2 linked regions of the Nothobranchius furzeri genome follow. The protein of the gene in region 2 purifies or fractionates together with the protein of the main gene of each other region. This does not show direct contact. Links are inferred from orthologs where the notes say so. Each region holds a gene or a part of one and is shown on either strand. Other genes may lie near its edges.

Region 1 (4,613 bases), about 9.8 Mb from region 2:
ACAGGACTTCTTGTTTTCATTCACACTAAGTCCAGAGAGCTAAAGGTACCTCCTGACACAAGTACTCAGAACCATGAGGGTGTGATCATGTCTCCAAGTCCCTGATGTTGTGAAAACCCAGGTCAGCAGAACGCTAGCCTGAACATCACCACACCAGGACGACTCAAGAGTCAGTTGACACGCATGGATTTCATCATCATACTGCACTTCCTGGGTTCAGGAAGTGATCTGTTAAAAGAAACAACCCACTAACCCAAAGAACCCGACCATTTGGTACCTTCTAGGCCTGGTCCAATACAAGTCCATCTACCAGAAGTGTGTCATTCCCAGAGACGGATAAAGTACTCACAGATGTTTTTACGTGTTATCATGTCAAAGACACGGCCCGGGGTTCCCACCACGATGTGAGGAGCTTCCGCCTGCAACTTCTGGACTTCACTGCGGATGCTGGTGCCCCCAATGCAGGCGTAGCAACTGGCCCCCATGTAGTCGCCAAGAGCCAGAACCACCTTCTGGATCTGCAAACACAAGCCAGGTGGTTTGTGAGGAACCACAACCCTAAACCAACGTCAGACTTAAGGTGAGGAAGATGTGGCAGCAATGCACTAAACTCACTAGTCACCCAGTCTGTCCCCACCTAGTAGTAAAGGGCCTACAACCCCCCCCCCAAGGTGCTTCACAACATGGTCATCCACTCATTTAAGCTGGCTTTCACGCGACCTTCGTCAACACTGTCCTTATTTTGCTCAACCTATCCCGCCTTTCCCAGGAGCCACTGATCGTTTTCCACCCCCCCCCTCCCCTTTTTTACATTTTTAAAATCACAATTTTGTATTTTGGCATTTAACTCAATTTCAACCCAAGTAGGTCTAGTGGGTGGGCGGAGGGAAGAGCGATGAGGAGCTCTTGCTCATGCTGGGCGAGCCAGTTTTAAGTCCCTTGGGTCAGTTCAGTCACAGGCCTGTTGAGAAATCAATAGCCAACACCCTAACTGGTGTGACTGGGTCCTTACCTGCTGAGCCAACTCCCTGGTGGGAGCCAGAACCAGAGCCTGGGTGCCTTTCAGCTCTATGTCGATCTGCTGGAGGATGGAAATGGCAAATGTGGCAGTCTTCCCAGTGCCAGACTGGGCCTGAGCAATCACATCGTAACCTGGAGACCAGAGAGACGGAAAGGGTTTTCAACTAAACTAATCCAGATCATCATCACCAACTCCACTCCAGCTGGCTGATACGGGCTTGTCCTAAAGGTGCAACATTAGCCACATCAGGGCTGATGAGTCATCGGTACGATGATGTTGTGTAACCAGTCAACCACACAAGACAAAACAAAGCTGCTGAGATTTTAGTTAATCTAAGGAAAACACTAAAGTGCACCCTGAGGCCAGTCCTCTTACCTACCCTTGATACAAGGGAGAATAGCTCTTTGCTGGATAGCAGATGGCTTCTCAAAACCATAAGCATAGATTCCCCTGAGCAGAGTTTCACGCAAGTTCATCTCATCAAAACTGTCCACGATCTGGTTCCAGTTGCTCTGGGAGACAGAAACAAGGCAGAGTGACGTCAATATTTCCTACAAATGCTGATCGGATGAGACCAAGACAGAATCAGCAACAAGGCCTTAGAATCAAAAGGATCCTGTTCATTTTAAACTCAGTCCAGATGGAAAAGCTTAATCTCTCCTAATCATACAAGGCAGTTACTGCACATGTGAAACATCAAATATGTAAAAAGCAGGAACACATCTACGTCAGAAACCTTTAATTAGTAGAAATTTTTACCTCGATGATGCCATCGGGCTCCATGCCCTCGGGGCCATTGTCTCTGAAACCAAACAATGAATATTCATTAAAATCACGGATCCATCATTTCTCTGGGTTCCGTCAGCAGACGGGTCCGGTAACGGGTCCAGAACGATCGGAACCAGCCCGGTAGTCTGTAGAACCGACCGAAGTCGTTAAACGGTAAAGCGACCAGACTGGATCCTTCAACGGAGTCCGCCATTTTTATCGTAGGCCGCATTCAAGATGGTCGATCCGACCAGCTAGCAAAGGCACTGAAACAGGCCGTGGCCCGGAAAACATTCGAGTTTACGGTCAGATGAAGTATTTAACGAGCAAAAACGGAACATGACGTTCCGGATGGCAACGGTCCAGCGAGACAGAGTTAGCTTGTAGCCACGGCCTGCTAACTTAGCTGGTCCTAAGCGGGCCTCTGGGTCTCTACCCAAGGATACAGCTAGTAGAATCCATCACCAACAATTTCCTTGCCGAGGGAAACCGTGAGGAACGGATTAGGGTTGCTCCAGCGGCGGCAATGACAGAAAAATGAAAAGTCGCGTTAGCATGTCCACCCTCCCAGTTAGCGCCGCCATGTGCACCGATCACCGAGGCCAGAACATCTAACGCCTACGCTAACGGGAAGGCTGCAAATGGTCGGTTGTACGCGAGAAATCACAGACGGAACATCATTTCGCTGGTTTTGGTAACGGAGTGACGGCAGACACCCTAAACTACCAAGTCGGCGAAGGCCTGGAGCCCTCACGTGCTACACGGAACCGGCAGCCTTTTCTTTTTTCTCAGGGCCGACATCTTTAATACACGTTCACTCTTCTGGCGAATACAAATACGCGATTAAACCTACAAAATCAACTTTTGAACTGGTTTACCTAAGTGATATCAGTATCGATCAATAAGACTGAGATTCTAGCATCACCACTGAGAACAGGCCTCTAACAAGGCTAGTCCTTTTAATAAGCCACTCGCGGTGCCTCAAAGTCTATATTACGGGCGAGTTCCTAGTCACCAATTCTCACAATTCGACACAAAAAACACAAACGGCAATAAATATCGTAAATAAAACAGTATAATATTGTTTGAACAATTCGTTATTTCACTGACCTGTTATCATATTCAGCCGACATTATTCCAAAGAAAGAATCCGGGGCAGAAAATTCTTATATATGAAGAACTCACAACGTCGCATTTTCATTGGACAACATCACCGTCACTTTTCTGTAGACCCGCCTGTCGAGGTTCGTGATTGGTCCACTCCTACATGTATTTTTAAAAGGCGGGACTAGGCGGAACTTTGCTTTCCACCAGAAAGAGGTAGGGATCTTTTTCGTTTAAACGATCAAAAACAAACATTGACAAGAACGAAAGTCTATTAGAGATAAAAAATCATGGTTTGTTACTGAGAGCGAAGCGGGACGCGGGGACTTGATTCAGAGCTGACTTCAAACCTTTACTGTAAGAACAATAATGCCCAAAAAGGGCAAAACGTTAACCGCAATAGTAAAATAAATGCGAAATGTTGACCTTTAATGGCTGATAAAATGGGTCAATAATGAGAATCATTTTCAGTTGAACATTAACTTACACCGCACATTCAGAGTTTATTCATTTTCTAAGTTATTGTGAGGTTGGACTCTTTTTACAGTGCATAATTAGTACATCAAATGTATTGTACCAAAGTGTTTTATCCCTCCCAAAATGTTGTAAAACAATTACAAAAATGTATTTTCTTATAAACATTTCTGCAGTTCTAATAAATTGTCACAGTAATTCTTTTTGACAGCAGTAATGTGTTGTTTTGTCCTACCTGTGCAGGTCAGCTGAGCTCTGACCTCAGTGGCGATAGTCCGTGCTCCCTACATCTGTTATCTGTAAACTTTCTCATTCTGTCTGTTTTGGTCAAAGAGTAAAGGCCACTTGAATCTTCAGATATGTTAATCCATAGATGTTTAAAATCACGTTTCACCACAAGTGTAAATGCTGCGGTCGAGTCCAAAATCAACACATTTAGGATGAATCATTTTTAGTTCACTAAAGCAAGAGTGGCTCAGAATGGCCGGACCTGCTGGAAGGTTCTGTAAGAATATACTCCACTTGTTCGGGTCATGAAATGTTTTTTTATGTAAATTATGAATGATCATCTAGGGATGCACCGATACGATACCAATACCAGTATCGGTAAAAGTTAACCGATACCAATGCAGTTGCTTGAAAATGGCTTCACTGTAACTTGTCATTTCTGTTCACCTAATATTTTGGTTTTGTGATGATTTCTTTTCATATATTTTACTTTTTATCTACCTCACAGTCCTCCTGTTGAAAGCAGAGAAGAAAATAAAATCTGAATTCCAAATCATTGCATTTTTTTGTGTGGTAGAAGTATCGGTAGTGGTAATCGGTATTGTGAGTACTCAGATCCAAGTATTGGTATCGGTTTGGAAAAAAGTGGTATCGTTGCATCCCTATTATCATCACACTGACTTTATGGATGACTAGCTACTCAAGCTTTAAATACACAGTTTGTTTGCCACATGTTTTTTTTATTTTAGCAACCATAATGCATCATAGAAGATATAGAAAACAACTCTGTTGCATCAACTGAGGAAAACAGGATGCAAATCTAAAAACACAACTATCCACAAGTATGATGTTTATTTTGTGTATATATTTTTATATATATATACACTGGAACAAAAAAAAAGAGAGAAAGCACGTAACTCAGTTGTGGACATATGGTGCCTGTTGTGTAGCTGCTGTGGTCCCCACCAAAATGGCTTAAAAAAACCTAAAACATTTTTTAGACTTACTGCAAAAGAAC
Region 2 (3,816 bases):
GTTGAATTTCCATTCATTTAAATTAATATGTGGTCCACATAAGCTGACCAGAGTGCTCCGGTAGCATTAACAATGCAATTAAACGAAATCACTTAAAGTAGGAACATTTCACCTGCTGCGGCCCAAACGCACGTTCCTCCTGCGCCGCGTAACCCTGAACTGGTCACCTGCAGCTTGTGCGTAATCAAATGTCTTTGAGGTGCTTGTTGAAGAGGTTAAGAGGTTCTGGACTGTTGCCTCAGACAGACTCGTGGATATTTAAACGTTGTTCTGGATGGATCCGCGCTCCGCAGACACACTCGATGCAGGAGCTGAATAACGACGAGCGCTACTTAAATCATGAAATGTTTCTCCAAATGAAATAACCAGAAGTCTTCCAGGCTTTCTGAAAGACAGAAGGGTTTCCACTCAACACCACGCTGCTGTGGACGATGTGGAGTGCGTCACAGACGCTCTCCAAGCTCCTCCTCTGCGCGCCGCGTGTGCGCCCACTGTCGGCAGCGAGAGGCGGAGGAGGGGAGAAAAGGCTCAGGCGCGCTGATGGAGATCTTTTGTTGATTGTTACCTCTGCGACGTTCTCTGTGCGTAACATGTAAAATATTTTTTGTCATAAACAAACTAACTCACGGGCATACAAACAAATAAATGAACAAACAAATCACCTCCGGTAAAAACACAACTGTAACGGCACCGCCCATTAAAAACTCTAGTTATGTTAATCTAAAAATCTGTTTTTCATCTCAGATCCAGGAGAAGGCATAACATAATCTAATCGGAGAGCCATCAGGACTTTCCAGTGACTCTGGGATGTGCTAATAAATTATGGAGTCATAAAGGCCACGCACCGCTGGCCTCCCCCAAGGTGGTGAAGAGACTACTGGAGCAAAAAGCTCCCACTGTGATTAAGCAACACGAGACACTGCTCCTATTTCAGTGCTGTGCATCACATCTGTGTAAAGTAGAGGCGCTGTACCTGTGGAGGGGTCGGGGTGGAGAAAGGGGGGCCGATAGGAGGCGTTGAATTCCTGCTTCCTGAGCCCCCTGCCAAGATCTCCTCCGTTACATCCTTGCCACCTCGATTTGGGTCACGAATACGGATCTAAAATTATATAAAAAGCAAATAGAAAAGACATTTTAACTGTTTGATTTTTAAGTTTATTCTAACTACTGATAATATCAAACCTGAACTCTCCCCAAACTGAAAATGTCAACAGGAACATTATTAACAAGGTTCACACGTTTTTTCCAATACATTTGCAGTGGGATCTCGTGTCATTGAATGCCCCTTTGAGTCAATCACTGTGGGAAAAAAAGCTCTGGCGCTCCTGTTTCAGTAACTAGAAGTGAGCCACAGGAGAGGTTAGGAGAAGACGGTATAATCTGGAGTTTTATTTCCTGATATTCAGACATCTCGCCTCTAACTGGCTAAAAGCAAAACCATTCTAACAATGACTCCATTTGCTTTGCATCATTCATGTTTTATCTCCACAAATAACACAAGCCTGAAGGAGTTCTGCTGTGTTGTGGAGTTGCTAATGCTAATGGTTAGCTTCTACAGATGTGCTCTAATTTCTCCTGGATGCTAAATCAACAACAGTTCTCCTCATCGTGAGCAAGATGAGTGAGATCATAAGCATTAACTATCGATGAGACATGGAATCGACTGGCTTTTCCAATCCAAGCGTTTCCCATCTGTTTTCTATCAGCGGCTAATGCAGGAAATGGGGTAGAAGACCGATTTCCTGTTTAACCTGCATGTTAAACTCAGAGTAATGGTAAATGGCGTGTACAACCCCCCAAGGTGCTTCATAACACATCCATTCATTCGCTCGCTGGTGATGAGCTACGTTGTAGCCACAGCTGCTCTGAGGCGCACTGACGGGAGGCAAGGCTGCTGAACACTGGCACCACCAGTCCCTCCGACCACCGCCAGCAGCTAACCTGGGTCAAGAGTCTCGCCCAAGAACACGACTGTGACAGATTGAGCGGGACTCGATTCCACTACCTTCAAGTTACGAGACAGGAACCTAGCTCCCCCGCCACCATCGTCCCATGAACTCAGAGTGGCCGATCACATTTCAAAAACAAGTAAAAAGCTGTTTCTTGGAGAACTCAGTCTTTAAAGGCAGCAACATGCCAAATATTGAAAAGACAAAAAAAAAAAAAAAAACTTGAGACACTCACCGTTTTCTTTTCACGCTTGGCTGAATGTTGTGTAGGCACTAAGATGGGGGGCGAGGGGGGGAACAGTGTCTGTCCTGGGTAAAAGGGCGAGCCAGCTGTGGGGACGGGAGCGGGTACAGAGGGAGAGACTGGAGGGTGGTACCTGAGGGCATCTGAATACATTACCCAGAAAAGAAAAGAACAAAACAGAAGAAAATATGTTCTAGTGAAATAAGGAATTATCGCTCTTCTGTGAGCAGACTGATGCGCTAGTGTGAATTCATGATTCTCTGGGAAAGACTCACGATATGGGGCAGGGTACTCCCCTGGTCCGGGACCAGGGTAGAAGGTGCCAGAGCCTGGAGGCTGTACAGAATACTGCTGTGGAGGTCCCACAAAGGGTGTACTGGGTCGATACTGGAAGTACATAGGACACACAAAGATAAACAAATATAGGAATGATGGCCAAGTTTCTCTAAAACCTCCACTGCCCATCTAAGGAATAAAACTTGAGTCACACCACATCGTTTTCAGTAAAAGATCCAGTGCAGTGGTTCCCCAAATCGATGGAGTCACTGCTGAAAAACATTTCTTGGACCTGGAATAACTAGGTGGTGGGCACCAACCATCCATAATGCAGGCCTTGGCCTGTGGTTTGCTACATAGAGCAGTAGCTGAGCTTGTAAAAAAAATAAGGCGTGAACACAGGTCACACATATGATATCAGAGCATTTTTTCGCAGGCAGTAACGTAGCAAAAATAAAAATCCCAGTTACTTACATACACAACAGAGAATTTGCAAATCTCCACTTTGGTCGGAGATTTTGAAAGAATTGTTTCTGGTGCCATAGATCTCAACTTTCAAATGGACGACCCGTAGACCAGGGGTGGGCAATCCCGGTCCTTGAGGGCCACCATCCTATTTGTTTTAGTGTTTTCCCTGTTTCAACACACCTGATTTCAATCAGCAGGTGATTAACCTAATAGATAAACATCTTAGTTTTGTGGGATACTCTGCGACGTGTGACAGGGTCTAAATAGATACTAGGGATGTTCCGATCACATTTTCTTACTCCCGATCCGATTCAGAGTCATTTGATTCTGAGTATCTGCCGATACCGAGTCCCGGTTTCAGAAAAGCAATAAAATAATAATAAATACATTTTTAGCAAAGCATTAAAATAAGAAAAAAAGGGGGAAATAAATCAGGAATGCATTAAAATAAGAAGAAACATCCAAATTGTTCTTTAAGTTTCACTTTCATTTTTTAAGTAAGTGCACCAATTAAAAACTTGTTTATATTGTAAATATACTTAAAAGTTGCAGCCTTGCTCTTATTTCAAGTTGTTTACTCCCTCAGTATGTAGCTGTATTGAGCAATGCATGTTCATGTGACGGAGCAGGCAGGCGGGGTAACTGTTCTCTGCATAACACCTGCAGCTCCAGCTCCAGTGCTGCAGGAGAACTGGAAACTGATGTTTTGCAGTCTGTTGGATATTTCTCTTTGTTCAGGAGTGTAACTTTTTCTGTCAGCTGACTCTGCGGTTTTGTCTGACTTCACTGTGAACTGCGACTGTTAGTAGTAAACTGGGGATTAATGGAGACGGTGATTTGCTTTGTTGATGCCTGAAGGGAAAAGCCGTTTCGTACAAG

What was found.
Region 1: the proteins of eif4g3a (region 2) and eif4a1b purify together in Homo sapiens (co-immunoprecipitation; 6 studies listed by BioGRID and IntAct, counting the BioPlex papers as one, with this or other methods). This does not show direct contact. The link is inferred for Nothobranchius furzeri from reciprocal best matches to the Homo sapiens genes EIF4G3 and EIF4A1.

What each region holds. Positions count from the first base shown.
Region 1 is NC_091743.1:86,638,369-86,642,981, reverse strand, and holds the start of eif4a1b (eukaryotic translation initiation factor 4A1B), read right to left. Parts: upstream 3,008-4,613; 5' UTR 2,923-3,007; coding exon 2,900-2,922; intron 1,824-2,899; coding exon 1,781-1,823; intron 1,534-1,780; coding exon 1,401-1,533; intron 1,153-1,400; coding exon 1,013-1,152; intron 519-1,012; coding exon 350-518; intron 203-349; exon of another isoform or gene 62-202; intron 1-61. UniProt on the Homo sapiens protein: ATP-dependent RNA helicase which is a subunit of the eIF4F complex involved in cap recognition and is required for mRNA binding to ribosome.
Region 2 is NC_091743.1:76,832,675-76,836,490, reverse strand, and holds part of eif4g3a (eukaryotic translation initiation factor 4 gamma 3), read right to left. Parts: intron 2,581-3,816; coding exon 2,469-2,580; intron 2,337-2,468; coding exon 2,185-2,336; intron 1,100-2,184; coding exon 974-1,099; intron 1-973. UniProt on the Homo sapiens protein: Component of the protein complex eIF4F, which is involved in the recognition of the mRNA cap, ATP-dependent unwinding of 5'-terminal secondary structure and recruitment of mRNA to the ribosome. Functional homolog of EIF4G1.